Bombyx mori: one gene and its partner. The protein of the gene in region 2 interacts with the protein of the main gene of each other region in a biochemical or structural test. Links are inferred from orthologs where the notes say so. Each region holds a gene or a part of one and is shown on either strand. Other genes may lie near its edges.

Region 1 (17,579 bases), on a different chromosome or scaffold from region 2:
AACACCAGTACATTCTACCTATTTATTAAGGCAATAAAAAGCTGTTGTAAGATTAGATTCTAAAAATCTTTAAATGTATCTCACTTTTGTAGCAACATCGAATTTTGATTAAATCAAGGCGATATTCTACTCCAAATTAAAACATATCTCTCTGTGAAAAGTACATAAAAATCCGTTTAATAGTTCTAGAGAAGGGCACGTACAAAAACCAACAAACAAACAGAAAATTATTACAAAAATCGCTGGTATATATGTGATATTACTCTTCATTAGTTACCCTCCTTCTGTTTTCATTATTTTCTTCAGTGTACAAACACACCTAGTTCCAGTTTCATTATATCTATTGATTACTAGTTGACCCGGCAGACTTCGTAGTGCCTTAATCGATAAATAAAAGACCTAAACTATTGTATAAAATTGACTTAAAACAAACAAAATCCGTCCGACGGGTGACACATCAAAGGAAAAACAAAATTGTTATTTTTATTTAATTCCCAGCATTTTCATATTTATCTACCTTTTAAACCTTCTCTGGACTTCCACAAATAATTCAAGACCAAAATTAGCCAAATCAGTCCAGCCGTTGTCGAGTTTTAGCGAGATTAACGAACAGCAATTAATTTTTATATAATAATATATAGAAGATAATTTATCTCCGAGTAACATTGCTGCAACATAAAGACAGGCGCTGAATTATTTAGGGTTCTCGTTGTTGCTATAGAAATCATTTGGAAGTATACAACTATCTCAACTTGCAAAATCTAATTCCAGAATCGCTAATTTCAAAATCCCATTAAGAGCGTATCGTTTTTTAAGCAATAGGTAGAAAGCAAGTCAGTGATTTTTTTACTGGTGGTAGTACCTCTTGGGAGTCCTGGGAACGCCCTGCCTATTTCTGCCGTGAAGCAGTAATGCGTTTCGGTTTGAAGGGTGGAGCGGCCGTTGTAACTATACTGAGACCTTAGAACTTATATCTCAAGGTGGGTGGCGCATTTTCGTTGTAGTTGTATATGGGCTCCAGTAACCACTTAACACCAGGTGGGCTCTGAGCTCGTCCACCCAACTAAGCAATCAAAAAAAATTTTTTTCTGATGCACATTGTCCTGTGCTGTACATTGTAAACTTGTATGGTTAGGAGAGAATATTCGTACCATTTCTGCTATGAACCATTCATTACGTTGCTGTTTGAACGTGCAGGACAGTCCTTATTATAATATAGTACAATGAATATATCGACTTCATATCTGAAGATGTGCCGTGAGATCAGCTGTCTTTCTACAAAAAAATAATAATTTGGGTTGAAAAAAAAAACAAGTTTTAAATTTAATATTCGATGTATTATAGTTGATATCTTTACTTATATTTTCTGATTACAATTAGATGCGATTTCATTTTAGTAATAAATATACAGGGTGTAAAAAATCTGTTCATTTATAAATTTTATTTTCGTTTATCATTTTAATCTTATTTTAGTAGAATTGATTACAACGGATTACAGCGGAATATTTCTTTGGAATCGTGGCCTGAATGCGACGACTATGTCAGATTTCAAATCATCAAGACAATTTATGATAAAATCGATGTGTATGATCTTCTGTTATTTTGTCGTGTATTTTGGGTCTATATGACATCACGAAGTCGAATCGCGTTCAGGCTATTTTTTTTAGACGGGTTATAGAAAAAGGAAAATATTTGGAGTTAATCATAATCATGAATGATTAAATATATAATCAGAAACATTAAGAATGTAAATATTTGCAATTCCTTATTGCTCACAAAATGTAAATGGAATTAAACATCAGTCTTTATTTAAAATGGCAGTGAGTATTAAGATTTTTAATAAAAAAAATATATTACGTCTTTTAATCCGATAAGTACTTGTCAATATATATGGGCTTATTGAAAATTTATTTCATACGTTTATTTATTTCTATTTACAAGTTTACAGTTTAATAATCTGCTTATTTGATCTTTTTTAGCTATAATAAGCACAGTTTTAACTTTTCTATTTATGGATGGATGAAAGAGTAGACAGCGCACCTGATGATATGTTGTTACCGGACCTCTAAGAAATCACAAATTTATCGTCGCCAAGTGATACCGAAGTATATTGTATATCTTAAATATATTGTATAAATAGTCTATTTCGCCCTCCAAAGAGTAAACAATCCAACAATAATATAGCCACTGGTATCAGCTAAATACTAGATAGGATCTCTCGTCTATGTAGCAAACAAAGATAAGTCGATTATCTCAAATTATTCCTACATCGTTCCATCCAATAGCATAATATATTAATATTGTGTTCGAAATACGTTTCGTTTTACGTAATTTACCATGAAATTTTCCAATAAAATTTCAATCTTTCCTCGATTAATTAGAATAAAAAGGCATATTACTGAGCTCCTTAGTGGCCAGTCTTGCGGCCCTGTTCAGAGTAACGTTACAATGACCGTGGAGCGCTTCCAAACTATCGCTCTCCTTCTTACTCCATTTCGTTTCCATTGCTGCAGAGAAAGCGGTACACGAGAAGGTGCAAAGTAGACTTATCAGTATACAAACTCTCATTCTCAGTGCGTCGTTTGGCTGTTCGAGTAGATTTATGAAATTAAAACTCTTGTCCTCGAATAGTATTCTTTCGACAACGTCAGCTAGTTCCGGTAGGTCCTGCAGTATGGTGATCAGGAGACCGACTATGTTCAGGACTATCCTGGGATTTCTCGTGTCTGTAACGAAATATTAAGAATTATACGCTTTACTTATTTTAATGAGAACGTATTTTTAAACTCTCACTTTAACTTATATTCATAAAATAAAATGTAAGATTTAGATAAAAAAATCGTTTGATGGGCGGTGATTTAGTGATTATTGAGAGAGGGTTCTCTATTCCTTTTCCAGTATGGGAATTTAGTTTTGGAATTAATATTAAAAAATTTTTAGGCTTTAAAATTTGGGTTTCAGATGAAAACATTGGAATAATTGTTGTCCAATCCAGTGCGTGTGTGCGTGAGTGAGTGAGTGAGTGAGTGAGTGAGTGAGTGAGTGAGTGAGTGAGTGAGTGAGTAAGTGCGTGCGTGCCTGCGCGCGCGCGTGTGTGAGATAAAGAGAGAGAGAGAGAGAAAAGTGTACTTTATTGCACATCAAAACATATTTAACATTGAAAAACAGTCAACAAGCAGGTATAATTGTACAATGGGCGGGGTGGTTTTCATCGCATCCTAAACACGATTGCCGTCTGGACTGCAGCTACGTGAATCGCTGCAGTGCAATTATAGCTCTAAATATTCTAACGTAGTTCTCAATTTGTACTAACATCCAAGTCGCGGTCAATAAAAATATTATTATTAATGTTATTAGAATGGCGCTCTTACCAAGCTTAAGCAGTTTAGTGAACACCGGATACGCGTTGTAGGCACTTAGGGCAGTGGCAAACTGTCTCACTCCTCTGCAGGAACGAACGCACAGCCACGCACACACTTCAACCATACGACTAACACCTTGTAATCTGCGAATAAAAAAAATACAATTTTAAATGCGAAAATTGCGGTACTTGTTAGGAATGGCAAATCTAGTTTAAGCAGATTTTAAGCAAACCTTTTACAAGTTCAAAATGGTAATATTTACCTATCCTCTGCTCCGTCGTCATTGTCCTCACTGTTCTCCATTAATGTGTTTATAGCTGCTACGAAATTATAAGGCACTTTCGCCTCCAAATATACCTGGTGAATGAAAGTCGCTCATTTGAAAAACGATTTCATTTATTATATCGTGGAGTGTAAGGCTATTTAATTTAAGAGACATTTCGCGTAGTAGGTACTCTACATTTATCTTTGTAATTAAAGGTGAGTTTTATTTGGTACTAGCTGACCCGGCAGACTTCGTAGTGCCTCAATCGATAAATAAAAGACCTAAACTTTTGAATGAAATAAACATAAAACAAACAAAAGGGGGACACATCAAAGGAAAAACAAAATTGTTATTTTTGTTTAATTCCTAGCATTTTCATATTTATTTATTATAGAATACAAAAAATACTAACATCTTGTATATTGAGTAGCGTGTGTCTCGGCAGGGTGTGCACCAGAGCGGGCAGCGCCAGTAGCGCAGCCACAGCCCCGCAGACCCGGCCGCCCCCCGCACCGCGCGCTGCATTGCCCACCACACCAACCACCATACTCACCTGCAAACAGGTAACGGAACTTAATACAAACTATGCCTATTTCTGCCGTGAAGCAGTAATGCGAAGTTCGAAGGGCGAGGCAGCCGTTGTACTGTTAAAACGGAGACCTTACACCTCATGTCGCAAGGTGAGTGGCGGCATTTACGTTGTAGATGTCCATGGGCCACTTAACACCAGGTGGACCGTGAGCTCGTAAATCCAAAAGCAATTAAAAAAAATTTACGGTTCATATCATAATATTATCGATGTTTCAAATAATTTATTTATGATTAATTTTTATTTCATTTATATATAAAATATGATATAGTCGTCGGTGACTACGAAAACTGTGAAGTATTCCAAACATGAGAAATAATGTAAAAGCACTTTTAATTATGTCTACGGCACCATGCATTATGTTTAGAGGAAACAAATATTTTCTTATTTCATCGGCTTTGGTTGTGCATTCTGTCAGCCACTGAATTGCGGCAATATGCATTGCATAATATGGTTGATATAATTAAAAATTCCCTTTGTCTTCTCCCACCTGTCCTGGTAAAACTGGAAAGGCCTCCGGGCCACCAGTAATCCTTCAATCGTAAAGAACAAAAAGGAAAAAAATATTGAAATTCATTAAATCATTAAAACTATGAAGAATCCAACACAATCCACAATATTATTTGATAAATATACCATATTCAACTGAGTCAAAGATTCGACATCGCCGTCCATAACTTCACTGATATTTGAATTCAAGAAAGCCTCCCATTCTTCTAGTTCAATGCTTGATGGTTCCTGCTCTGAAATTTTAAGTACCATTATAAAAAATGTACACTTTGGTATTAAAATTTATGGATATTACTTTAACACATCAAATTTAAGCATTCTTTTAAATTTAATATATTTACCAACTGGTTTGTTATTCTCTTCGACTTTGAGAATTCTATCATTATCTGCAACATCTCGATCATTCGGTATATCTTCAATTACCTCACACTTCTCAACATCCTCATCCTTTTCTTCCTTTGAATGTTTTTCTTCTTCAGCACTAATAATACTTGGTATTTCCACAGTTGGTTCACTGATTCTTCTCTGACTATCACTTTTTTTATCCCAACTTCGAATACTAAATGATCTTTTAATGCTTCTTGTCAGTTTATTCCCGCCACTACCAAACCTTAGTTTATCCCTAGAGAACTGTAATATTTTCTGCTTATATGAAGGTGGTACACTTTTGCTTAATCCAGACTTGCAACTAATATCACTGCTGCATTTTGTTGAACTTTTAGGATTCTCTAAGCTGTGTGAGGCAGTATCTGTTGTTTTAGATTTCTGTTTAAATTCAGTAACCTGTTCATCCTCAACACATTTGACTGCATCCGCTTTAGATTCTTCAGATTTTTCTGTTATATGTTTTTCTTCATCTATTTTCTCCATTTTCTTTGTATTTAATTCTATCTGTTTTTTATTACAAGCCATTAGCTGTGCCATATTGTTTTCTAGATTACAAACAAGGAGATTACTGTTGTTCATTACATTATATTCATGTCGTAAAAGCTTTGCATTGGCTACTGAAATGGGATATGCTTGCTCTTCATCATCAGTTTTGAGGCTGTCTCGAACACTGAATGCGCTAGTGGCCCTGACACTGTCGTCATCAGACATAGGCAAACATTCCAAAGCTTGCATGACTTTTACATTCCTTAAATCATGCTCTTTGGTTACAAGTCTTAGTGGATCACCTTCCATTTTTTTTGTTCTAATGACAAAGGAAAGTCTTTTACAAAATTAGTTTAACTATAATACATTCTAAATATACTATATTTTGTTGTGATTACTTTTATTTGAAAATCAATTTTGTAAATGTATTTAAAATTAATTTTTTAAATATTATTCTGTGTTGAAGTTCTTTTAACTTTAACTCTGATATTAATTACAAATCTGATATATCTGTAAGTAATTTTTATTACCTTGCATTCCCAATGCATATTTTTTCCCGCTGCAATTGCTTGGCTTCTTGCTGACTGTGTGTTAAAGGCTTGGTAAATGGTGATTCACTCTGGACGTCTTCTGGTAGAATAAGAATGTGACCAGCTACAAATGGATGTTCCAATATTTCTGGCCAGCTCATTCTTTTCAAAGGATCTTTATGCAATAAGCCCTAAATAAATATTTTAATACTATTAAACTAATGGTACAAATAGTATAACTTAATTAAACGTAAAATGTTAAATTATTTGTGCAGTTTTAAAAGCTTGAAGTGAGAGCTCAAAAGCAAACAAACCTGTAGGAAGGTCCGAGCATTAGTGCTGATGAAACTAGGCCACTGTACAGGTTTGTGTCTAATCATGCGGACAAGTTGCCATATAGACATTGTACAGAAAGGTGGTTGCCCAGCAATTAGCTCATATACAATACAGCCAAGTGACCATAAGTCTGCCTGAAAAAAATACACAAAATAAAAATACAATTGAGATCTCAATATAATGTCTCAAAATAGGTGTGCTCAAACACATTGAGATATCTATGGGCTCAGGTAACCACATAGCACAAAGTGGCTTATTCACCCATATTATTATACTTAAAAAAAAACAATTTGGATAATTATTATATTGATATTTAGTCAGTATTGTGATAGCAAATTTTTTTAACTCCTGTTGTTATAGGTGCTGAAATTTTCCACAAGGAGCCCTGTAATGTACAAAAATGTTTGCAACTCTTTAGGATTAATAACAATATTCCATGAGGTTTTGATGCATATTTGTGCATAAAAAGTGACAGAAATATCTGTATAAAATGAAGTTTTAACGATATAATCACTTTTGTTTATAGCAAAGTGATTAATTAATATATAAACCCTACCATATATGCATACATAAAAATATTGTTGAATAAACTATCATTAGCATAAATTCATGTTTTTTTTTTTTTAATTACGTACAGGAAAATCTCTGAAATTATTGATTTATATTAATTAGGCTAAGGACAAATTAAAATAAAAGTACTCTAAAATATGTCAATTATTGTTATAAATAATGTTTTACTAAGAATAATTAATGTAATTTTGAAAATTGAAAGTATTACTATATAATATAATAGCATAGCTGCATTGATGGAACAGCATGCATACTAAGTATCCATACTTCCACACTATACAAATATTATAAATGTGAAAGTGTGTTTGTTATTAGATTGTGTATTTGTATGCCCTTTCACATCAAAACAAAGCAACAGATTGACCAGTTTTTTTTTTTTAATTATAGTTTTACTAAGAATAGTTAGGTCAGACGGAAGACATAGGTAAAAACATGTCATCTCCACAGAAAATTACAGTATAACTCTTTGTTTATATAATGCTATTTTAATATAATTACCTGATGATCATATGGCTTCTCATCAATTAACTCGGGGGCCATGTACAATGGTGTGCCTTTGATGGATGTTAAAATGTGTGTTGCATTTGTCATTATTCTTGCAAGACCAAAGTCACAGAGTTTGGCACGTCCTGTACTATCCAATAGCACATTTTGTGGCTTGAGGTCTCTAAAATTGTTATTTTGTATGATAAATGTTCAGGAATAATATAAAATCATAATAAATGAATCATAGATATTTCTATGATTATTTTCTTTCTCAATTTTATGCAATGAGAATTACTTCAATATCCAATTTCAACGTTAAAAGCTCAGATCAAATTAAATATTAACTATAAGAACAATAATAACTTTCTATCCTACTCTCAATTTTTTTACAAATTAATCTTTTTATTTAAATAAATCTTAATAGATTCAGTATCCAGAACCAATCAATATAACTGTCCACATTGAGATATAAGATGAATGTCTCTATTATAAGCCAGGCTATAGAGAAAAAATGAATAAATTATACTGATTTCACCTAGCTATGCCCCCTGCCAAGGTCCAAAAAATGTTTAGATATAATTATTATTTACATCAATAATGATATAATATTAATAATGTGTGTTTAGTATTATTATTTGATATAAAATATGAAACAAACAAGTTACCTATGTAAAACTCTATGAGAATGTAAGTAGTACAGTGCAGACACAAGGTCCCAAGTAATCTTCTTCACTTGTTCTTCATTAAGACAACCCTCCTTAGCCAATATTCCATGTAGTTCTTTCTCAGCATATTCTGTGACAACTACCAATTCTGTATCAGTGTCGAAACTGTCTATCATCCGAATTATGTTTGGATGATTCAATTGCCTCTGTATGTCGCATTCTTGCTTCAAACATTTTAAGTCTTTAGACGAGCGACCTTTCTGAAAATGTTGAATTATTGTGTAAGAATATTTGTTTATTAACTAATGTGGATGACGAGAGGTTTGACCGTGATATCTATGACAGCGAAGACATTGGGATCATGATAACTGAATAAGACCATTTAAAATTTTACTAGTAAGAAAACCTGGTTAATAACATTCTCTGTGTGTACAATTATTATTTTATCACACTTTATTAATGATCTTATTAAATATATTATTTTGGAAATAGTGGAAATGAAGATTTAATAAGCACTCGCAAGTTTTTTTTGTAATTTATTTGTATTGATGGTATACATTTATAGAAAAAAATTAGGAAATCATGAAGGCACCAAGTATTTAAAGTCATAAAAACTTAATAAATACCTTCCTTATCACTTTCAAGGCTACTACAGCATCGGTATCTTTGTGTTTTGCTTTAAAAACACGTCCAAATGAGCCTTCGCCGACGAATGAATTTATAACGTAGCTATTCATTTTAAAATGTAAAGTTGTATATCTATTATGGTGTATATATGGTGCTAATATAGATCCATTAATTTTGAAACTTCCTGTTTTTATTTATTGATTTGCATTTCTCTGCTCCAGTCGTCGTACATATGTATTGTAAATAAACATAAAATATTTTGTTCTCTTCGTAATGTAGTAATTTTATTTTTCCAAATAGAAAGGCAAAAGTATCATACCATACAGCCTAATCTTTTATAAATTTATTTTATTTTATGAAATATGACATTATGAAATAAAATGAAGTGAAACATGACATGAAATGAAATGAAGATGATTAATTTGAGACATTAATCAACTGGGATAAAATTAAATGAAATATGATGAGATTATATGCGATGAAATATAATCTCAGTAAAATGGTGGTCATTTACTGATTTTTTCAGTGGACTTTTTGAAGGATCCCGAGAAGTTACGTCCAGCGACTTTGTTTCATTTTCCCATATTTGTGCACTTTCACAGATAATAAACAGTTAATAAACCAACGTTATTACACATTTAAACCTGAAGAAACACTAAATAGACAATACATAATATCATGTACGTTAAAAGACTGGAGCAGAGAAATGCAAAACAATAAATAAAAACAGGAAGTTTCAAAATTAATGGATCTATATTAGCACCATATATACACCATAACAGATATACAATTTAGAATAAATGAATTTATTGTAAAAAGAAACCGTGGGGTGCATGGTTATAACAGTTATAAATATTTTGATAATACATATCCTGAAAACCACCCACACTTTTTTTACAATAAGATCATTTTTTTCTTACACTATTTTTAATTCAAATTTATTAAAATTTATTTTCTATTTTTAGTTTAATTTTTATAAAAGCTTATTTTTTTTAGTAATTTTAAACTATTATTTTCAATCTAAAACCAAAGAATCGATTCGAGCGTGGAAAATTGAAATTCCTTGTTTGTTGTTACAAAAAACGACCACAAAATAATTTACAATAGCCGGCTTAGGAAAGTGGCGAGGTCTCTAGACCAAAAGCGATCATAGACGCGGTTTCTTTGAAAAAGCAACCCGACCTATTAGGTAGCCTTCTTATCATATTTTTTTCTCCTACCTATTCGCCGGGAATTATTACAACTACGGTTAGATGAGCACACAGGCTCAACCTGAGAGAATTTGCTAAAATCAGCCCTAGCAAGGGCAGTGCTTCGCAGAATCTACCACTGAATCGGACCCACTAAGAATATCCAACAAGAAACTCAGTGGGCGGCGAAGTGTTCGACATGCAACTTAATCCACAGACATAATCGCCTGAGTTTTCCCCGGATATTCTCAGTGAGTGGCTCCATAGATAAGACCAAATGATTCATTGGTTACATTAGGTTAGCTACAAATTTATTTTCTTTACATTGTTTGAAGATATTTCATAAAACCTTATTCGAATATTTTTTTCAATAAATTCTTCATACTTCGATTCGGATTAATTCAAAGGTCAACCTTTTTTGAAAAGAATAGCTTCATAGCGAAGTGAAATTGTTATTGATTTATCTGAAATTGTTTTTTATTACATTAGATGGGTGGAGAAGCTCGTATACAGCCTGGATTTGGACGGTTACCACAGTTCACGGACATTTTGACCTGAATGCCCCCCGGCACCTTCATACACAAGTTGAATTCTCAATTTTGTTGTATAATGTAATTTTGAATTTGTTGTGGCCAAAGGGTAAGAAGTCCGCTGCATTCGTGTCGAGCGATGCAACGGTGTTCGAAACCCCCAGGTACCAGTTTTGCTAATGAAATACGTACTTAACAAATGTTCACGATTGACTTCCACAGTGAAGTAATAGCATCGTGTAATAAGAATCAAGCCCGCAAAAACTAACAAAATAAAATACTCACTCTCTTTTGAATAGTAAAGCTGTCTAAATAAGTATTTTTTATTGTTAAGATGGGTAGACGAGCTCACGGTCTACCTGGTGTTGAGTGGTCACTGGAGTCGATCGATTTTTACTGGAAGTAGGACCTCATGTGAGTCCGCACAGGTAGGTACCACCACCACGTCTATTTGTGCCGTGAAGCAGTAATGCGTTTCGGCCTGTAGAGTGGGACAGCCGTTGTAACTATACTGAGACCTTAGAAGTCTTAGAACTTATATCTCAAGGTGGGTGGCGTATTTACGTTATAAATGTCTTTGGGCTCCAGTAACCACTCAACACTCAAGGTGGGTGGCGTATTTACGTTATAAATGTCTATGGGCTCCAGTAACCACTCAACACCAGGTAGGCTGTGAGCTCGTCCACCCATGTAAGCAATAAAAAAAGTTATTCATGAGCCTCTGTTAAGTAGCTCTACGTATTTTATTAGAAAAATTTATACCTGCTTACGGGATTCGATCACCGGCACAATGGCATCGCTCGATATGAATGCACCGGGCGTCATATATTTTAGTCCACGACCACTTCTGTCTGCTGACGAGTCTTTGGTTGTATTTTTTTTTATTAATAATACTTGTTAAATTTATTGATATAAATTGATGTAAGTCGTTAATCGTAATTATCATTCAATGCCTGACTTTCCAATACCCACACTGATTATTACTGCAGTGCTAACGAATTCTAAAGCGATCTTAAAGTGGTAATAATGTTGGCAATCATTGTAAAACAAACTATATCTGCAACTTAACATAGTTTCGCAAAGGAACGACTTATATACTAGGGGGTATCAAAAAGTAGTGAGAATGAGATAGAATATAATGACTGTTGATAACTTAATAATTTATGTTTCTACATAGTCTCCGAGTCTCTCTACATAGCGAGTCCAGCGCTTTTCCAAAGCTTCAATCCCTTTCAAAAAAATCAATAAACAATATCCCTTCTGAGTCCCAAAATATTGAGGCCATAGCCTTGCCAGCCGATGCCACGGCACGAAACTTCTTCGGAGTCGGTGATGATGGCCGTTTCCATTGCGAAGATTGCTGTTTTGTCTCGGGATCAAAATGATGGACCCATGTTTCATCCATTGTTACGAAACGAGACAAAAAAATTCAGAATCTTCTTGAAACTTGTCCAACAATGTCTTCGAAATGTCAAGTCGACTTTGTTTCTGACTGTCGGTTAGCATTCTCGGCACCCAACTTGCGGAGACTTTTCTCATATTCAAAGATTGTTTCAATATGAATTGAATACTTCCATATGAAATACCCGTTTCTTGAATTAAGTATCGGATGGTAACTCTTCTATCGCTCAATATAATTTTCTCGACTTTCGCAATATTCTCTTGGGTGACTGACGTCGATGGACGGCCGCAACGATGTTCGACTTCCGTACTCATTCTCCGTACTCGAAATTGAGAAGGCCCACCCTGCGACAGTGGAATACGGTGGAGCAGACTCTCCTAATATTGCCTCCAAATCGCAATGAATCTCTCGCGACGTTAACTTTTTTAAACAGAGATATTTAATAACGGCTCGTTCTTCATTTTTCTCCGTTTTCGAGAACACGTTCCGACACGAAACAAACAAATGACTACATTCAGAAAAAAACAAAAGAGAATCGAAGTTTTTTTTTTAAATTAATATTACAAAGATGTATCTGAGCTATGCCTGCCACTATTTTTATTTTAGTTTTCTTACCAACGAGTATGTTGTTCTCATTACTTTTTGATCCCTCCTCGTACATCAACACATGCGGCCATAAACTTACTGCATACAGGAAAAATAACATTTTCATAGAAATTTACGTCATCGCCGACCGTCAGTAACACTGCATCACGAAATGAAAATATTAGGCACTGCAAAAAGCGGATAAATTCATGACCTAAGAGATAAGACGTACTGCTTAGTATTGAAACTACCTAGTCTTGCCATAAATACTGAGACAAAGGAAAAAAAATCTATTGCAAATAACATTTATTACTTTTACAGTGTGTTAGTTTAATACATAAATATAAAACAATTTAAAGTATAAAAAGCTTATTCGAAGTGGTCTCCATTGGCTGCAATACAGTCCTTTAAACGTTGAGGCCAGTTATCAATAGAAGCACGCACTCTTTTCATGGGAAAAATGTTCACTGCCAATTGTACGGATTGTTTTAGGGACTCCAAATTATCATGGCGCTTAGAGCAAGCCGTACTCTCTAAAACTGACCATAAATCATAATCCAGCGGATTAAGATCGGGACTAGACGTCGGCCAGTCTTCAGCTCTGATGAAGTCTGAAACGTTCGTTTCCAACCAAGACTGCGTAGACCGAGCTTTATGACCTGGCGCCGAGTCTTCCTGGAAGGACCATTCTTGATTATTGAACATGGGGTTGTTAAGGGACTTCACTACCTTCTCAAGAATTATATCTTGATACACTTGTGCCGATGTTTTGATACCTTTTTCACAAAAGTATGGCTCAGCCACTCCTTCATAGCTAATACCACACCAAACCATCACTGAAGTCGGATAGTGCCCACGTTGCACTCTGTCGACTAATTGGGAAGCTTCCTTAGAGCTTTGAGCATAAATACGGTCACTTTGTTTGTTAAAATGTTGCTCAATTGTAAAAATTTTCTCATCGTAAACAAAAATTTTCTATGACCTCCCTTTGCGTACCGCTTCAGTAGTTGTTCCGATTTTACCACCCTATTCTGTTTTAAATTATCAGTTAAGAAATCACCAGTACGTCTCTTATAGGCTGCAAGTCCTAAGTCATCTTTTAAAATACGCGACATGATTCTAGGTGCTATCTTCATCTCCCGAGATAAAATCTTTTGCTTTCGGACAGGATTTCTTCGAATTCTTTCCCTTACTGCTTTGACCACCTTTTTCGTACGAACACTACGTTGACGGCCAGATCTTTTTCTGTCACAAACAGAGGAGGTCTCATTGCACCTATTAATAGCCTGGTACACAAATATTTTACTAATACCAAGCGTATGGAGAGTTTTAAAAATTGCATTTGGCTCCATACCTACTTTGTGTAATGCAATCACAGCGATTCGGTTCTCTTTATCACCCCACTCCATTTTAATATCGCAAAATATTGTACAATGTATTGGCGCCAAAATGAGAAAACTCAATGAGCAATCATTTAAAATGATAGATTCCAAATTCAAATGTAATATTTAGTTTATTTTTAATTGTAACAATATTTATGGCCAGACTAAGTGTATCCCAGGTCCACATTTTGTTGTGTTAGATTACACACGGGTTCACAGTCACGGTTATGTTTAGATGCGGCAGAAATATGTAAGTAAATGACGGTACCTACCCCCCACAATATCTGTGCCCTTATTACACAACACACTTTTTTATGTTTAAGAGTGCTGGTGGCCCGTAGGCCTTTCTAGTTTTACCAGGGTAGGTGGGCGAGCAAGGGCTCAGCCAGGAAGGGCGGGATTTGCTAACAGCTACCCGAGCGCCTCCAATTGAGACCTAACAACTCAAGAGTAGCTTTGCGAATGAACTACTTAATACTTATGCATCTACTATAAAAAGTTTCAAGAGCTAAGAGCTTATGGCCCAATGAGCTTCTCGCCGGATCTTCTCAGTGGGTCGCGTTTCCGATCCAGTGGTAGATTCTGCAAGCACTGCTCTTGCTAAGATCAGTGTTAGCATCACTCCGGTTTGAGCCCCGTGAGCTCACCTACTAGCTAAAGTTACGCTGAAATAGCCTCTCAAGGCTATCAGCTTTGGTAGGAAAAAAAAGATAAGAGCTTAAATCTCGAAGGTACTGAAATAAAAGCTGTATTAATAACAATACAGGCTGATCCTTTTTTTGTTTTAAAGTTTTCGTACGTTATTCGTATTTGGCCCTCTAATGTCAAACCATCCATGGCTAGACAAGCAGTCTGGATATACTGAGTCCCATATTTCGTCAGCGTACACATCCCGGACGAATGGCGCCACGCTATAATATCCCTCGGCTCCGGTAATTTTTAGTTGGGCTGTGGACTCGTTGACCTGTTTGCAGCAATTAAACAGTTCAATTAATTGGTGCAAAACTAGTCCTGTCGAATATCTGATGACAAAGGAGATGATACCACTTACCTCGTTCGCTTATTCATGACATAGGTACCTTCAGGATGCAAAAGAAATGTAGAAAGTCAGAGGTTAAATTAGAGGTATCCAACTAGATTATTAAAATCATCCCAACTTTATTAAAAGTTTCTTGCGAGAAGTGTTCGACAACTGCCCACTGTCTAAGCACCCTCTTGGAATCTAAGTTGGTCTTTCAGATATGCGGATTCCACCTACATATTAATTAAATGGTCGTCGAGATGAATCGCTACAACAAAAACCACCATGAGCTCTAATACTTCCATCACTGTGCTGATAAGTTAAAAACACTACACGCTCTATATTCAAATGATTATAATAGTAAATATAAATTTTATAAATAGACCATCTGTCCGAAGTAGTCCGAACATTTCGAAGGAATCCATATCTAACTAATCAAAACGATTTTCTAATAAATCTACAAGTACAACTGCTCGTTATCTGACTTGGATTTCACAGTATTCATAAATCCTCTCTAATGTGCTAGTACAATGAAGAGGCCCGTGCAAAAAAATAGAACGATTTTAATAATTTAAACGAGCATTTACGACTGCCAGACATTATTCGACAGCGGTCGGTATCCGATACGTGAAAATTTGTTGACGCTTTGTTGTCTATACGCTATTTATAAACGGATTATACGGCAACCAGCTGTACGGGATAAAACTCAGAATCACATACACAATAAACACGAACTGGGCTAAGGTTCGGTCGGAGCATTATTTCATGTTGAAGCGTATCATTCCGTAACCGTGCACGCTATAAACAAATCAGAATAGCGTGGGATGTCGGTACACACTGTAAACTTTTTAACATTAATATTTAAAGAAATATAACGTTTAATCGCTTAGTCGAATCTTTGTAGATAACGTTATATTAAACTTAAAATATCTTTAGGCACCTGTTCAGATAGCACTTGGACTGTCCATTTGATTATTCAAACATAATTTATTCGACTAATAACGATGTTGAAATTAAAGCGGTGTCCGTTTTAGATGCGTCCTGAATTCGAGTTGTTTTATGAACTGCGGAGTTCATAACCGTTTCTCAAAATAGCCCGTTTCGAGTTTTCCAGTGCTCATAAAAATGCGATTGATTTATGACCGGCACATTCGTATTGGCAGCCACCCATTATGACTACATTATAGATGGAATAACACCAGTCAAATTTAATGATAATAAATTTAAAGCGTATTATATCTAATTTCCGAAAGTGATTTTATCAGATCACGTCGCGTCGTGCGTAATGATCTTACAGCGTATTTATATGAGGGCGTTGAAAAACGTAATTGTCAATCCAATAGTTTCTGTGTGAGGTCCGGACTTTATTAATTTTTAATCGTCAATTTCCACAAAATCTCACTCGACTTGAAATCCTGATTTGTTAAATGTATTTCTCAGTAATACCCTGACTAATTTAAACATGTCTTATCAAGTACGGGCAATTTTCCTTTAATCCTTGCTTTAGTAATTGTATTATCGAAGGTGTTTACTATCAAAGCTACAACGCGGTCAGTGAACTAGGACCTGTAGGACGTGCGACTCGTACTGTGCCAACTCTCGAAGACTATTCATCTTAGTACATACAAGAAGCATCGCTGAACATGTTGATGTATAATATGCAGAGTGTTCGAACTCTTAAATCATAAGCTTTTAATTAGCATAAATTACTGTCGTCTTCACAACCACAGTATTCGTTTTAAATATTTTAATTCTTACTTTTTTTAATTTATTAGGCCTTCACCTGTGTCATTAATGCATTTTGTGATAGCGAATATCAAGCAACTTATTAATATCGTCAATATATTAAAAATAACTGAGTTGTGAGGTTGTGACCTAAAAAACACAAGAAACGTAATATCTTAAATTTTCTCATTAAAACAAAAAAAAGTTTTACAAGCAGCAACTTTATATAAAGTTAATAAAACTGATCAAAGAAATTATGAAAAAAATATCTTTACATCATAATCGTAAACGTCCTACACACGACAAACGGCTTTAAAATTATAATTATTCACATTTAGTGAGAGCGAACGCTAAGATCATTTACTGGGTGAGCGGCGAGATTACAGCGGGCGGGCGGACGTTCACGCGCACGCATGGCTTGTTTACGTTTTTCATAACCACGTTTCTACTAAAAATACTTCAGCATCCTGCCGTTTGAGGCTCACGCGATTGGTCAGCGGTGGCACAGGAAACCGGGGAGGACTTGGGGCCGGCGGACCCCGCCGCCCGCGCTCCCCTCCTTCTTTATACCACGGAAAGTATTCGAAAGCCCCGAATATCGTGAGGCAGCAGAAAATAACCCTGAACGCTGGAAACATTCGGAATTGTGGCCAGTCGTGTTGTGCGTCTCACAGTGTTAACTAGTGACATCAACCATGGTTCTGGACACCGAAGACTGGGTAGGTGTCTCCAATAGCAATATTAAATTAACATACAATTGTATGAAATTAAAAATATGCTGAAAAGAAGATTAAAGTATGAGGCGTGTGTTATGAACAAGGGACATTAACAAGATATGTCGTTTTGCTTGTAATTCGGTTCAGTTGAATTTGTGACAGTTGACAACTGACCGACAGCAGCTGTGAAAGAAGCAGTTAACAAATTTATTTTA
Region 2 (17,334 bases):
GTGAAGCAGATCTCTGGCAGGGAACTATCACACCAGGGGATGTTAGGTGGTGTGGCACCCCCGTCGTCCAGTCGAGTTCGAGGCGAAGAGTTTGACCAGAAGGTCAGCCTTCTCTTTCGCACTATGGGCCAAATTGTCATCGGTCTTGCGTAGTGGTGGGACACTAGACCTGCAATAATTTCCTTCTGCAGCTTTGGCGAGCCACCAAAAAGCACGGCTCCCGGAGAGATAGCACTTAAGTAGCTCTCCAATTCTGGAAACGTGCTCCGACTTCGATTCGGCAATATTTGTATTGTACGTCCGGGAAGCGACGTTATATTTCCGCCTTTCCTCTAAGACTTTCGGATCTCGAGGTCTCCTTGCATCGTTCCAGGCCGCGTATGCAAACGGCTAGAACGTGTGCAGCATCCCTACTGGGATTATTATACCAGGATTTACTCCGACTCTCAACGGGCACATCAGAGGAGAGAATAAACAATTCCATCCCCTGGACCCTGGAGCACCACGTCTTTAAGACGGTCCATACAGACTTCAGGATAACCAGAGGAAAAGCAGAACCCCCATGGGTAGGATGTATAAAATTCAGGCAATCCATCGCAATCTGCTGAGATAAACCGCCAAACTCTTCGATACCCGGTCGTTGTTCGACGATCAGGACGAGAGTGGTATGGCAGTGATCAGACGATCTTAGCGGAACGTCGACCGCCAAACTGTATTCGGCTGGATGGGTGGTCAGCAAAAAGTCCAACACAGAAGGCTTGTGCTCGTCAATATCGGGGACACGGGTGGTTCCCTCTTGTACATGCTCAAACAGAATTAAAGATAGATCTACACTCGCGAGCAAAAGTTTGGAATCACTTACTTGAAATTAGTTACGCGCGATCTCTTGTACTAAATTTTTTTTTAATAATCATAAAAATGACATCGTTTTAAAGGTTCAATTCTTAACTTTAAACTGATACTAAATTCATTAAAATCAAGCCAGTATTTAAGAAGCTATCCCGGATTAAGTGAAGGAATAACGTGTTTCAATAACGGAATAACGAAAAAGACGTGTTTCAATTGCTTGATACGTCGCGAGTTGCGACTTATTGACCCCTATAAAAGCACCTGTTATCGGATTTTCTTTATCAGTTGACTTTCACACGTTGACCGATACACATCTGCGCTAACTTTGATCCATTACCTTTTACGACAATGGAGACAACACCTACAGAAGCAGCACAAATCGTAGACCTATTGCAAGAAGGGCTCAGCCTGCGGGTTGACGCTCGTTGACTCCACATAAGCCAGTCCTGTGTTTCGAAAGCTTACAAGCGCTTTCAGGAGACTGGTGGCTTTATCCCGAGACCAAGATCTGGACAGCGCCGGTGCACATCGGAGAAGGATGACCGTTTTATCGTGTTAACCTCTCTCCGAAATCGGCATTTACATGGTGTCGACGTCCAACAGGAGCTCCGAGATATTCGTGGGGTAGCAGCCAGCGAGTGGACACTTTGTCGATGACTCAAGCTAGCGAATCTGACTCCAAAAAGGCCTCCCACAAGCACGAAACTCACGGTAGCTCACCGACAAGCTCTCCTTCAATTTGCTCGCACCCATCTTGATTGGGAGGTTGAGCAATAGAGGCAAGCCTTTTTCTCCGACGAGAGCAAGATGTGTTTGCACGGTAGCGACCGAAGAGGTCGGGTCTACAGGCGGCCTGGGGAGCGATTTTCGCAGTGCTGTTTCGCTGAAACAGTGGCTTATGGGGGCGCCATTGTATGTGGGCCGGTATTTCCTTCGATGGTAAAACCGAGCTTGTTTTCGTGCCTGGCGGGGGACGAGGAGGCGGTCTAACTTCGGACTGGTACATTTCCAATATTCTGCTGGAACATGTCTTTACCTATGCTGGATATATCGGTGATCACTTCCTCCTTATGCACGATAACGCTCGTTGTCACACTACCCGTGTAACAACTGTATACCTCGAAGAAGTCGGTATCGCCACATTGCACTGGCCATCACTCAGCCCTGACTTTAATCCCATTGAGCACGTGTGGAATGAACCGAAGAGGAAGTTTCGTTCCAGAACTCCTGCTCCTTCATGTCTGAATGAGCTGAAATGAGTCGTCTATTATCAAAGGTGGCAATCTGTGCATTTGGACAAAAAAAAATTATTGATATGTCAATACAGATTGATTTGAATATAATCGTCTCCTTCAAAGAATACGGTTCAAAACCTGCATTAAATAAAGGTTAATTACTTAACCTGTTATTTATCTAAGATGTCGTTCCGAAGAGTTTTGTGACTGCCAATGGAATACAAAGTCAATAATTCGTTTTTCTGATTTACCAATCATTGTCCAAAAGTCAGATTGCCGGCTTTGATAATAGTCGACTCAAATAGGCGTTGATTTACGAGTGGGAAGGTATCCCACAAGAATCAATTCAGAAGCTGATCATGTCTATGAAGAATCGTCTTCGAGCAGTTATTAGGGCGAGGGAAGGGAACACAAAGTACTGATACTTAATTTTAAGGCTAAATAATTTCTTTTACTTATTAATTTTTGTTGTTTTGTTCATTCATTATTTTTCCATATTTCCTTGTTTTCCTACCTCCTTCACTTAATCCGGGATAGCTCCTTAACTACTGGCCCGCTTTAAATGAATTTGGTATCAATTTAAAGTTGACAGCTGAACCTTTAAAATTATGTAATTTTTATGATAATTAAAAATTTATTTAGTAACCAAGATCGCGCGGAACCAATTTCAAGTAAGTGATTCCAAACTTATGCTCGCGTGTATAGTTGAAAAGACAGTTCCAAAGGCGAAATCACTAAATTCATCCAGCATTAGGTAAAACAGACTGGCAGAATCACTAACTGTTTTTGGCTATATATCAATGGGAAGATGGAACAAATCTATGTCAGGGATGTCAGTGATCAGGATGGGAAAAAGTTATCTGGAGTAGACATGCTATCTTCATATTCCTACTGTTTTTTAATTATTTTAAAGGTCTAAATTTAGTTAAAATAAATAAACAAATATATTATTATACTTATTTAATGTTTTTATATGTCATCTAGCACAACAGTTGTTTTCTCAGATACATAAAGACCATCCAAGAACTTTCTGATATCCTTATTCTTGACTGTAGTAGATTGCTGGATGAGAGCAGCAGAGCTAGAGACATCTTCCAAAGAGTTGCCTTCAATGATTAGTTCATCCTTTTGTTTTGGAGAGTTAACGACAGTCACACCAGGTGCCATCTTTACCCTTCTGATGTATTTCTCACCCAAGAAGTTACGTATCTCAATAATTGAATTACCCTCAGTGGTGACACAGTTAATGGGGAAGTGAGCATACACAGCACGCATCTTGTATTGGAAGCCTTTAGTTACTCCTGAAATAAAAAGCAAATCTAATCTTAGTATAAGGATAGAGTACATTACATTTGTGTTTATTTTACATTAGATTATACCCTAAACTATTATTTTGAATTTATTTAACACACTACAAACTACAAAGTGGGTGCCACCCAATTTTTCACTTAATGATCTATGGGCTCTGGTAACCACACTAGAAAAGGGCTAGCTATTAGATCATTCATCCATCTATGCAACATACAAAAAGTTTCAAAAAATTAATTTCATAATATTAATTTCATAATATTAAAAAATAAATATTTTGGCAAATGAATTTACAGTTTCCATGGTCACAGTTTTACACAAAACTTTTTAAAAATTAAATGTGGTTTGTGTTTCGTTTCCCCCTTTTTTTCCTACCTAATCTGATGGTCTATAGAAACCAAGTCAGCGTAGCCGGGCTAGTAGGTGAGCTCACGGGGCTCAAGCCTGACGATGTTGCTAACACAAACCCTAGCAAGAGCCATGCTTCGTAGAATCTACCACTGGATGGGAAACGCGACCCACTAAGAAGATCCGTGAGAAACTCAGTGGGCTGCGCCTGTGGGTTAATTTACTCGCCGAGCCCTTCTGTCACAAGCGACGGGTTCGACGAGAACGATGACCTGTGCTTGGGGTACTAAAAGCACCGTTAGTGGATCAGGAGGATTCGAGATGACGTCTTTTGGGCGACTGTTTGCCATTTAGTCTGCTGGATCGACTATGTAGTTACTGGAGGTCACGATGAAAGGGTTCTCATGTCGTGCCACTTTATAGAAATGGGAATTTCTCCAATGGTATAGTCTAAAATTGAAAAACTCAGGTAAAATTGGTTAAAATATTTATTAAACACCCAAGTTTAAAATAATTTTATGAAGTAAATTTTACTTATTTAAATTAAAAATGATTAGCTTTGTTTTTCTGGTGGCCATTGTAGGCAGACGAACATACAGCCTACCACATTGACAACAGCAATACCAGAGGCACAGAGAAGCCACTGCTTATCACAACTTGCTTTAGCTAAATTACCTTACAAAGTTGATTGTAATGTTTCTATATTTGAAATAACAAGCAAATAATAAAATTATACAACTGTGCATTTTATCCACACACTTTGTATTATATGCTAAGTCAGAGCATCATATTACATATATGGATATGTTTGAAACCATTAACATAAAAGATTTTTCACTTTTCCAAAACTCTAGACTTCAACCTTATAATTTGAACTTAATATAACATGCAATTTAATTCGCTAGAATCATTAATGACACTCAGCTTTACTCGTGATTTTGCAAGGTCTAAAATGGTTTCTGTATTTGTATGAAAATAAAAAAATAACAAAAATTAAAGAAAATGTTTAAAATAGTAAATTATTTTCAAAACAAAATCGCGGGGCTCTTGAGAAAGCGTATAACAGCATAGAAAAATTTTACTATCTACTTTTAAAAGTCCATGTAAAATTTTTGTTCACACAAAAATCCATTCAATTTGGAACTTGCAGTGATACACCTATTGTTTACATGTTACAATGTTTATTACCAACATTTTGTCAATTTAAACTAAGAATCACTACGATATTTTGTCTTGATTGTGTGCTCCAGTTTCTGATTCTTAGTCTATTATTAATCTACATTAATGATGTTCTAGTAGTAGTGTTACTTACCTTTAATCATGTTCTCTACATGTGAACAGACTGTCCTCACGGCGGCAAGCTCCTTTTTGGATCCGAACCATTTCTCAACCTTCAGGAGACGAGGGTTTACCATGCGAATGTCAACAGCCAAGTGTTTGAAGTTCCTTTTGAGAACTCCGCGGGGCCCTTTAACTGTCACCAGACGCGATTTCACATGGACCGTAAGCCCGTCTGGGATTTTGACTTTCTGATTTGCTACAATTTGCTTCATGTTTGGGCCTAAAAACAAGAGCAAGTATGAAACATAACCTCACAGATGTTTACCAAATTTTTTGACACTTTTTCTCAATTTATTACTAAAATATCAGTTATAACGCATTTCAGGTCGTTAAACATAATTTAAAAAATAATTGTGGCGAATTTTAATTATGTAGGATGCGAGATTTATTTAGATTTTTTTCGAAATAACACATATTCACCTACTTTGTTTGACACAAGAGCCGGAAAAAGATCGTTTAGACACGAAAAGATTGCCACTTGCCACTTGCCGAATACTAACTTATTGCCAGCTGTCAGTTGAACTCTGAAGTTGGTGATAAGATATTTTGTGAGTAATTTATTAATTGTCTAACTCGAAAACATTATGAAATTCAAGCAGTTCTAACCAATTAAATGATTACAAAATTTATAAAAAAATCTAAATTTCGTAATAATACGACTTTTAGTGATCGGTCACCGGTGATTTTGGTGATCGTCATGGTAGATTCCAATTACTGTTAGTGATTGGAATTGAATCTTATTATCTCAGACCATCAGCAATGCTTCGATATGAAAGAGGTTTTAAGAGGCTGGAAGAATCGGCAAAAAAAAATAGAACCGGACCGTCTATTGATTCTGCAATAATTACATTTTTAGTATTTTTTAGTTTCGTCACTTGTTCATTCTGATATCCACTTTAGTGAATACATCAAAAAATCTTTCTAGTATTTCTGGTTAAAAATCTAACGACGCACCTATTTTCGAAAATCAAGGCTAAATACAATTTATTGGGTACCCAAACATCGGCATTGTCGTTCACATTTATTAATTTACTCATAGACCTATATGGGTTTCATACTTTAATAAATTTACTCAATGATTTAAGGCAGTGGTCGACAACCTTGTCATCCAAAACAGCTAACTAGATAGATAACACACAATTGAAATTTATTAAAAGAGCATTTTTTAACACAATTATGCTTTGCTTTAGTAATCACGGATAATATTAGGGAAATGATAAAATGAAAATTAAATACCGAAACCTTTCGCGGAAGAACCCTAGCTGAGGGGACAAATAGGTTGCATGCGGCTCATGAGCAGCGGGCTGCCGGCCACTGGTGTAAGGGGTCTAATCTAATCTAAAGGAATGGGCTATAATTTTTTTTTGTAGAATCATTTTAAAATGAAAGAATTTTAAAATATTTGGCCTATAAGATTATAATCCAAGATCAATTTTAAAAGAAAAGAAATTTTGGTCAATGTCAAAAAGTACAGTTTGTCAATGTCATCATAAACTTGTAACTAATACAAATAAATGTATTTCGACATTTTCATTGCCTGTCTTTTTGGGATTTTTCTGCTAAAATATGGTTTTTAGACAGTAACGTATTCAGCTACGTAGTAAATACGAATGTACGGATTAGTATTATTATCAAACATCCTCAGTTATGGATATTCCAGTACAAATCGCCATTCGTTTGAAGCCCCCGAGCTTGGCAGATTCTACTCAATGCATATTCAGTAATCCTGTAACCCAAATTGTTATTACGGAAAGTGGACAGACGTTTCATGTGAATCGAGCTTTGCCTGTTGATTGTAGTCAGGCTCATCTGTTCAATTCGTTTATGATACCTCAAATAAACTGTTTCCTCGATGGCTGTGATACATCTGTTGTTGTTTTTGGTCAGAGTCAGACTGGCAAAACTTACACGCTCTTTGGTCCAGGTAATAAGCCTATAATGATAGCCTCGCACTGGTTTGACAGGAACATTAAGTAGTTTTTTTTGTTTGTTAAAAAATTGATTTTATTTCAGGCTTCGAGTGCATTCACAGTGAATGTGATCAAGGAATCGTTCCAAGATTTTTAACTGAAATATTTCACAAACTGAATCAAATGTCTGAGAGAGAATTTATACTTCACATAACATGGATGCAAGTTGTCACCAATAATATATTTGATGTTCTTGGAGTCGGTTTAGTTAGGTGTTGTAATGTGGAGGAAGCTTTCCAGTATTTACAGCTAGGTTGGAGACAGCAATGCCAGGGGAATTACCATACAGTGTTTACTGTGACTGTTGAACAAAAGTGGGTTGGAACTAATGGCACCTTGAATCATAGAATGTCCACTGCTAGTTTTTGTGAACTTGCAGCATATCCTGATCCTGGTCTTTATACTTTAGAAAATATATTGAAAGAACTATTAGCTGGAAATCCTTCTAAACAGGTTAATTATGATCAGTGCATATTGACAGCAATGCTGCGTGATTCATTTGGAGGCAGAGCATTCACATGGGTCATTGGATGTATTAGTACAGAACCTGAAGACTACCAGGACACATTAAAGATACTGAACCTCTGCCTTTGCTGTAGAGGAATCAAAAACTTTGTAACAGTGAATTTATTTGCTGATAATAATACACCAGTTTACTCTGAGAAGGCAATCAATAGTGCTGATAACAATTTCAATTTACAATTTGCAACTTCACAATGGATTAAGTTGGTTTCGAACGCTGAAGGTCTTTTCAATAAGATCCTTCAATCAAAATCACTTTCAGAAACTGATATCAATCAAGTTAGCGAATGGCTATTTTTGAAAGCTGAATGTGATGAATGTTTAAATGCAGATGGAACTTTAGATAACAAAGATGTAACAATAAAACAAGGCTTACCAAGAATAGCAGAAGATACAGAGCCTAGTGAACTAAGTGAATCTGATGTAGATTCTGGTTCTGAGGAAGATACTCATTCTGACACAGTATTTCAAGATAAAGTCGAAAAATTTATGGAATATTTTAGGGAAAAGAATGATGAACTCTTTGCAGATAGATGTGAAGAATACTTGAATCATATTGACTCTGATGATATCACAATTTCAGAAACAAGTGGGTCTCAATCATTACCTGTCATGACATCACATTCCAATTCTGGACGTAGAAGAACTATACAACCTGGTGAAAGCTTGTCAGGGGCAGAGCTGGAGTTGTTAAGGAAAGTTGCAGCAAAAGCAATCTCACCAGAAACTCAAAAGATACTAATAGAATCTCATAAAAAAGACATGGATCCGGAACCAAAATTAATTGAAAGGGAGTTACTCAAAATGATAGATTCTCCAAAGACTGAAGAGATTTGTAAAAAGTATAAGATAACAAAAGAAAAATATACACAAAAACAGATATTAACTAGAAAACTATCTAAAGAAATAAGTAGTAGTCAAACACAGCTAAAAGAATTGATAAACCTCTGTATTGCAAAAGAGAGGCTTATAGATGATCTCACTAAAGCTATGTCTCAGAATACTCAGAACAAATCTTATGATAAAAATTCAGACTCTAATTTTGTTGAACAAGATACTGTGAAGGAAATCAAGAGACATGAAATTAATTTAAAGACTTATAAAAAACAAATTGATCAAATAAAAAGACAAATCAAGAAAGATGAAAAACGTAAAAATACCTTAGATGTAGAACTTGTAAAAGATAAATTAAAACTGGATGATTTGTCAGACACTTCAATTGAAGTCAAAGATAAGAAAGTTAATTCACTGAAACATTTCACTAACAGAATCACGCAATTAGACAGTATACTAAAGGAGAAAACTAATGATTTAGCCAGTTCAGAGCACTCCAAAGAGAAAGAAGTGATATTAAGAAAAGAAATTAAAAACTTGAGAAAAACCAGAGAATGTTTACACGATCAAAGATGTAGTTTAGGTCATAAGAGAAAAATTTACAAGTCCCTGTCTGATTCTGAAGTGAGTGACCATTTTCGTAATACACAATATTTATTGGCTTTCATTAATTATTGTTTATATTTTTAATTTTTGTTCATGATTGACTTCCATGGTGAAGAAATAACATCGTTTAATAAAAATCAAACCAGCAAAATTATAATTTGCGTAATTACTGGTGGTAGGACCTCTTGTGAGTCCGCGCGGCTAGGTACCACCACCCGCCTATTTCTGCCGCGAAGCAGTAATGCGTTTCGGTTTGAATGGTGGGGCAGCCGTTATAACTATACTTGAGACCTTAGAACTTATATCTCAAGGTGGGTGGCGCATTTACGCTGTAGATGTCTATGAGCTCCAGTAACCACTTAACACCAGGTGGGCTGTGAGCTCGTCCACCCATCATAGCAATGAAAAAAAAAAATTATAATTATTTTCTTTTTGTATAAAATGTTGTGGTTGATGTTGTATAGGAACGCAAATTACTCGAATGTGAAGAAGCTATAGAAGCAATAGACACAGCAATTGAGTACAAGAACAATTTAATATGTGGCAAATCACCATCTGCATCTTTGTCTGATTCATTCGACAACAAGGACTCAAGAAGTAGAGGAGAACAGATGTTGATGGCTAGACTGGATAAACTTTCACATGATGAAATTAAGACATTGTTATATAGATATTTTCAAAAGGTACAGCATTTTCTTTTTTTTTCTATCTATTTTAGTAACCTCGAGGGATTATTCTAGATTCACCGAGCTAGTAGGTGAGCTCACAGGGCTCAAGCCGAGAGTGTTGCTAACAATGGCGATAGCAAGAGCAGTGCTTTGCAGAATCTACCACCGGATCGGAAATGCGACCCACTGAGAAGATCCGGCGAGAAACTCAGTGGGCTGTGTCTATGGCTTAATTTACTCGTCGAACCCTTTGTCTCAAGCGACGGGTTTGGCGAGGACGGTGACCGGTGCTTGAGGTACCTAAAAACACCGTTAATGGATCTGGAGGATCCGTAATGACGTGTTTAGGGCGACGTCGACTGTTTACCATTCGGTCCACCGGATCGGGTATGTAATTACTGGCGGCCACGACAAGAGGGTTTTCATGTCGTGCCGCCTTCTCAAAGTGGTGCAATGATGCCGACTGTAAAGCTGAACTCAGTCAGTAAGTACTGACTAAGTCAAGCTCCAGGTCATAATTGAAATCCAGGTTCTTTAGGAGCCATGTTGCTTCGACGGCTATCCTGCCAAAACGGAATTGAATGACTTGAAAGGGTTTCAACTTGGTGCGAGCCGCGTAAGCGAATAATACACTTGCATAGGTCATGACGGGGCGTATAGGTACAAGTTTTGTAGTGTCACCTTATTACGAAGATTTTGTCATGTTATACTCGATATAAAGAAATAATGTAGAAGCAATTTTCTCCATTGCGTTCCTACTTTCATTCCTAATTTCATGAGTCCTCTGGAACACTTCGTTGTGCTTTTGATCACCTCAATAAATTATGCCAGTGGAATCTAATCTTCATAATAAAGCTAATAATTATGTTTTATGCATGATAAAGCTTTGTTTTATTTGAAATATGTATCCAAAAAGATAGTATCTCGAGTCACAATAAAACTATTTTGTAAGGGAATTTGATGGATTCGAATTTAAACTTCAATGGGTTTTTTTTTCTTAATCTTCTGTTTTATTATCTTGATCGTTTTGATTCTCGTTAGAGATTTATATGTGTAATAATAAATGTAATAATAGTTAATTTGTTTCTCTTATTTGGTATGTTTTCTGGCAGATCGCTATTTGATACGTTTAATTGAACTTCAATGGTTATTAAGGTAGTGGATTTACGTGGCGCATGTGCTGCCTTAGAAGCCGGTGTAGCGGCTGCCAGTGAAGAGGCTACTATTTGGCGAGCCCGAGCTGCTGCGGCTTGGAGACACGCGCAACGGGTTCGATCACATGCTCACACGAGGTAATGATTTGCACAACTTAGGTTATTTTTATTAGCTACACATTTATTTACGACTAGCGACCCGCCCTCGCTTCGCTACGGAAACATTAAATTTTATTATTGATAGTTGAGTCCCGCGACGTTACCCGCGCTTATTGTCGTACCGCGGGTGACGCCGCGGGGCGAAGCTAGTCTAAAAAAAGTAGCCTAAGTTACTCCTTATATCATCAGCTACCTGTCAGTGAAAGTCCCGTCAAAATTGGTCCAGCCGTTCCAGAGATTGCAGAACATTATTTACGGATTACGGAACAAACAAAAATTGTAAAAAATGTTATTTTGGTGTCTATATATATTCATATGCATGTAGTAAAAAGCGGTTATTTCAATATTACAAACAGACACTCCAATTTTATTTATATGTATAGATTTTAATTACCAGAAAATTCACGTTCTTTAGTAGTTTTGAAAATTGATATGTAATTTAGTTATAGATAAATGAATTTCTTTTTTACAAAAGAATCACGATCAGAGTCAGATAGAGACATTAAAACATGAATGTGTCAGTTGCGTTGCAATAACGACAAACCTGCCCTTAGGACTTAGAAACCACGTTCCTTCGAGACAGAAGTGGGCCAAAGGATTTCATTATTTTCTTTTTTTTGGGTTCATGACGCGACCTTCCTCCATTCCTTACTGTAAGAAATAGGGCGAAATAAGATATAGATGTAATTGAAAAATGATGTAGACACATTACTTACAATTATTAGCACCTAGTAGTACTTAGAGAAGGTCAGTGTAGTAAATATAACCAGATCTTCAGATTAATCATGTAAAGTCGTTAATTATATCAGAAGAGCAGGACGTTATTCAGATTTTCTTAAAGAGATACCCTAAGAATTATAACTAATCTGAATATGCAAAACTAAAAATATTCGTACATTAAAATTAAAATTCTAATCCTAAAATGAATGTTTATGGTAAGAAATATGTAGATATTGATTTTGAACATGCTTTTATTAGTGTGATATACGTATATATGTAAAGGAATATTGAATGCATTTTTCTAATCACCATTTTTATTTATAACACTTATAGAGATTTATTTTCTTCTTTTTAGATAAGCTAGCTACAAAAGCGTTTTTATTTATAGTTTTAAACAATTATTTTTTCAACACTTGCCTGAATATTTACTATATAAGTATTTTTGTGACTTATGCGTCGGTTATGAATGCTTATGTTAAATTGTCCTCTAGACATTTCCAATCGTTTCATCGATGTTTGGACGGAGGAAACCCAGAGAGGGCCCTGTCTCTCGGCATGACAACAGATTCGGAAACATCGGATGATGCCATGCGCCTGGTCGACCGAATGAAACAGCTTGCAAGATGCAATCCGGTATGTATAGAACAGCACCAAATTCTGGGTTTCCAAACCTTTTTCACTCATGAACCATTCTTCAGTTTATTTTATTAGCTAAAACTAAAATGCCACTGGAGCGATGAAGCGGAGGAGATGCTAATGACGTCGACTATGAACGCGTCAATCAGGTCAAAGTCCCAATTAAAGTAATCTTAAAATCTTCCAACCGAAACTCATAACTCTTAGTGGTGGTAGGACCTCTTGTGAGTCCGCACGGGTAGGTAGCACCGCCCTGCCTATTTCTGCCGTGAAACAGTAATGCGTTTCGGTTTGAAGGGTGGGACAGCCGTTGTAACAATACTGAGACCTTAGAACTTATATCTCAAGGTGAGTAGCGCATTTACGTTGTAGATGTCTATGGGCTCCAGTAACCACTTAACACTAGGTGGACTGCGAGCTCGTCCACCCAGCCAAGCAATTAAAAAAAAAAAATTGTTGCAGTTTACTTTGGGAGCGAACAGTGCTGCTCGGTTTTATAATGTCATCTGTCTTTTTTTTTTGCCAGCGTATCCCATACAAGGTGTAGAAATTAGAAATGTTTGTTGTTCAATGCATTGTTAATTATATCGAGCGGACGAGTAATTTCAATAAAACACTGGCCCCAACTAGGATTATCGGTACTACGGGAACTGACAACCTATGTACTCTTATATATGTACAAATAAAGATATCAACCAATCAGACTGAAAGCAAACAAACCTATTCCTTCCAGAAATCTTTGCCCAATGTGGGAATCAAACCCACGTCTATTTGCCTTGGTACCACCCTGTCAGTCAAAACCTAACTATAAACTTAAACCTAACTAACGTAAAATTAAACTTTTAACTAAATTAACTTAAATTTAAATCAGAAGGTTGCGTGTTCATATCACGTCGGGGTCACCACTGTGGTTTGTCATTTTTCTCCGTATTCGCGGGAAATTTTCACTCGGAATAATATATCAAAGTTAAACACACTATTTCAATAATACTTCTAATTTTCAGATGTATGTACATACAATATTAAAATATAAACAAAAATGAGTAAACGACGCTAGACGATACTAAATTAACTAAAATCTCGATTTTATATTTAAGTTAAATCGGCGCACGAATCTTGTTGTGATGACGTCACGGGACAGCTGCGCGTTCGGGAATTCCGATCGCGCCCGATGATACCCGAGTGCGACTCGATATTTCAATGTTCCACGCTACAAACTTAAAATTTAAAAAAAACATGAAATAATTGTGAAAAAAATAATAATACATAAATACATTTGTTTTCAGCCTCCCATCATACCTAGTCAGAACCTGCGTCAGTTGATGCCCGCAACAAATTTACCAGTAGCAAAAGTCACGAAAGAGAAGAACAAACTTGTTATTGTACAGCAAAGCAAGAAACACTGACATTTAATTATGTTTTTATTTGTATTTAATGTTACTTTATTTTGTATTTTCATGTATATTCTTATTTTAATTTTAAAACTATTGATGCACAAAGAATCAATGCAATTATAAAGTAATTATGTACTTTCATTTTTATGCCTCATGTAAATATATTTATGCATATTGTAAGACTGTTTAATAAAATTAACATTAACAATTTTGATGTTTTCGAGGTTAATAAGGCGTATTGTAATTCAAAATAAATTCGATTAGGAAAGACGTTTTGTTGGATTTTTTTTCTTCCCATACCGATAATAAGTATTTTTTAACTTACAGTTATTACCAGCAACACGCGTAAGGTTAGTAAACATTTTTTTCCAATAATGTCTACATTCTATCTGATTCAACTAATCTATATATTAATACGTGAAGCAAAAACTTTGTATCCCTTTTTACGAAAATTGCACGGACGGAGGAGTATGAAATTTTCCACACTTCTAGAGAATATAGAGAAGAAGTGCACAATGCTAATATTTTTTTAAAATAATGCCTAAAAGATACATTACATCAGTAAAAAAACGTTACACACACTACATATAGTAATCGGCAAACTTCTTGAGCAAATGACCTTGACTGCGCAGAACCGAATTTTAGGTCACTTTGGTGGTGAGGGTGAGGCGGGCGGGTGACGGCAGGGGAAATCGTATCGAGCGCGTTATTGGTAGATCAGTCGAACCTTTCGTCCCGCACCGCGCCTTCATTCCGCTTGCTCCCAAAAGTACGCTTGCGTACAGTGGAAAGTCTATCGTTATTAATCGTTAAGTTATTTGTTATAATTGCTTGTGGACTTTGTTGCCATTGCTATTTGTTGAGTGTTTGTTGATTTTTTATAAAACATACACTATGCCGTGACAAACTGGTGTAGTACTTAAAAGAAAGGGTAGAAAATTTGTGTACGACGTATATTGCTTCATTATAAAACAGGGGAAGAATGATATGGAAAAATTAAAACAGACTTCGGAAGCAACAAAAACATCAGTGAGTGTTAGGTGCATTATTAACGAAGCTAAAGGCTCTGGCTTGCTCGCCGTGTTTCGGACTCCGGGTAAGAAAAGATCAGGGAAGAAGAAAGTTACCGGAATGGATAGTTTCGTTCAGTCTGTAATAAAAAGATGTAATCATAATAACTACATAACAAGCAGCGAAACTCCGTACCGTAGAAAGGCTTGGAAAAATTTAAAGAAGATATAAATTTTAATGGCTCGGAATGAAGCTTACGACGAATTATGAAAGAGCTAGGCTTCAGATGGAAAAAAAGAACAGAAAATAATCGGAAGCTGGTAAATGAAAAAAGTAACATTCGATTACTACGAATCGAATATCTTCAAAAAATAATTAATTATAGACAAAAAAGAAGACCGAATCGACCGAGTTGTAAACTACGCCGATGAGCCCTATGTCGACTCATCACGATGATAGCGACTCGGGTGATGAAAACAGTGATGATGATGATGGTCAAGATTATGATAACGAAAAAAAAATTACAAATACCAGCTTCGCTTTAACTGAACCAAGACCTGGCAACAGCTCTAGTTTTGACTTAATAGAAGGAATATCTATTTTACCCCAAGATTAAATTATTACAATTATTAACCTATATGTTTTGTTGATGTTCTAATAAATATATAAATAAATACATATGTTGATTTTAATAATTTAATAGCATTATGACGCAGAGTAAGTAATGTTTTTGCACGTGAGTGTACCATGCGCAAACTTACCCCCACTACGTCAACAAATGCTCAAGAAGTTTGCCGGTTATTATACCATATATTTGACGCACACACGCATGCATACTATTTATTGTCAAACTTTTGTTCTTGACGTCTGTTGTCAAATTGAGAATAGATTAAATATTGTTTGTCTTTGTTAATATTTTTTACATGTTGCGTTCCACTAAGCACCCACAACGATCGAAATGCTCCTTTAGTCGTTCCACATAACGACCGCGGTCGTTGTGGTCGCGGCGAAAACGTCACTTATGACGTCATAACTAACGCTCACGCGAAGCTCCCGACGACCTATCTAAAAAGGTGGGTCGAAGTGATCGTTGAGAAAATTAGCGGCCTTTTCAAAACTCAAAGCATCAAAAATGGCGACCGTTAAGCTTACCTACGTTATTTCATGCGGAAAAAGATACTATCTGGAGCATTATTGCGACCTCTTACCAAATATCCAAGTGCCACCGCAAAAGACATTTTAATTACATTTGAAAGTAAATTAATTAAATACACCACTAGTATTAAATATAAAAAATTAAATTATATTTTTTTTCAATATAAATCGATTTAAACAATAACTAAGTTTATTTTCAAGGCTTACAGATTATAACCTAACCTCTTAAATCTTTTTGTTAACTCACTTTTTGTATTATTTACCTCCACGCTCAAAACGCTCTTTAATCCATTCCACTTGAGTTTACGACAGTAACGTTCACAAGCAAGTGGAACGGGAAAAATTGCGGTCGTGAGTATGTTCGTTGTGAACGCTTAGTGGAACGCACCCATAGTGTAGTCTTGGCGAAATTTGTGATTATAGAAGTATAAAATACAATCATAATAGTGTACAAACTTACAACTCCAATTAATTATAGTCAAATTTCGACTACTGCGGGACCTCTAGTTATATTTAAACTATAAGTACTTATTTGTACGCAAGTTCATGTCTAAAATAACAGAGAATATGTTTTCTTAAAAATAAATTTAATTCATTTAAACTACGTACATTGAATTGATATCATTATATTGATGTAATAATTATGTATATATTCGATTATTTAAAATTCCACGGTATACATAAAATGCCTTCAGTTAACACAGAGTAATAATGTGTTACGTACAATATGTTACCTCGTAGATTCTGAAACAAAAATGTTGTTAAAACTTAAACTGAAATACTACGAAATATGGGATGCAAGAAATTAATCAACAAAAATACGAATAAATTTTTCAACTTATATATTAAAACGCGTCTATGTTTGGCCGTCAACCCGTTGTAAAGTGCTCCTCTCATGAAGCGAACGAATATTCGTTGGAAATTAAATAAGGACAACAGCTGTTGATTAGTTATGACCCGAGTAACATAAATGCTATTTACTTGTTTATGTTGTGTTTAACAGCAATTTTCATCTAACGAATTACAGTGAATTATTATATAGTGCGCTTATTGCTACCAGCGGTTATGTGTTGCGAGCTCGCGCGGGTAGACTGGACCGCCGTCTTTACTATTCATTACCGCTCCGCGAGAGGGTCATGCAATCCGGTCGGTTCATTGAGAGCCGTTGTACAATAAAATATAGATTTTGGTTATGTCTGAAGGCGCCGTATGCGTTTTCTATCCTATGATTCATCTAGCGTAAGTTAATGTACAAAAAAACTTGAAACATACCGCATTAAGTTTATCCGTTCTAGTCAATAGACGTTGACAACACGAAATCATTAGTCCTGGAGTTATACTATCGTCCTTGTGTAGTTCTAGTAGTCCAAATCTTTCTTTTACCTCTTTGTGTAATGCTTTCTCGACGTGTTTATTTCTGCAAA

The links.
Region 1: the proteins of kinesin-like protein costa (region 2) and serine/threonine-protein kinase fused form a complex in vitro, tested with the Drosophila melanogaster proteins (4 studies listed by BioGRID, with this or other methods). The link is inferred for Bombyx mori from reciprocal best matches to the Drosophila melanogaster genes cos and fu.

What each region holds. Positions count from the first base shown.
Region 1 is NC_085116.1:10,501,933-10,519,511, forward strand, and holds serine/threonine-protein kinase fused, read right to left. Parts: upstream 9,111-17,579; 5' UTR 8,924-9,110; coding exon 8,813-8,923; intron 8,447-8,812; coding exon 8,187-8,446; intron 7,703-8,186; coding exon 7,534-7,702; intron 6,600-7,533; coding exon 6,444-6,599; intron 6,321-6,443; coding exon 6,130-6,320; intron 5,919-6,129; coding exon 5,068-5,918; intron 4,960-5,067; coding exon 4,853-4,959; intron 4,192-4,852; exon of another isoform or gene 4,181-4,191; coding exon 4,040-4,180; intron 3,720-4,039; coding exon 3,625-3,719; intron 3,506-3,624; coding exon 3,372-3,505; intron 2,727-3,371; coding exon 2,374-2,726; 3' UTR 1,316-2,373; downstream 1-1,315. Other genes in the region: troponin C, read left to right, coding at 17,344-17,367. UniProt on the Drosophila melanogaster protein: Probable serine/threonine-protein kinase; maternally required for correct patterning in the posterior part of each embryonic metamere. May be involved in control of cell division during metamorphosis and ovarian development. May interact with costal-2.
Region 2 is NC_085118.1:7,783,066-7,800,399, reverse strand, and holds kinesin-like protein costa, read left to right. Parts: upstream 1-6,552; 5' UTR 6,553-6,728; coding exon 6,729-7,005; intron 7,006-7,094; coding exon 7,095-9,031; intron 9,032-9,477; coding exon 9,478-9,696; intron 9,697-10,836; coding exon 10,837-10,973; intron 10,974-12,205; coding exon 12,206-12,347; intron 12,348-13,636; coding exon 13,637-13,756; 3' UTR 13,757-14,014; downstream 14,015-17,334. Other genes in the region: RpL9 (ribosomal protein L9), read right to left, coding at 3,054-3,385, 5,053-5,293; T-cell activation inhibitor, mitochondrial, read right to left, coding at 16,568-16,654, 17,183-17,327. UniProt on the Drosophila melanogaster protein: Regulates cubitus interruptus (ci) processing by recruiting multiple kinases to promote its efficient phosphorylation.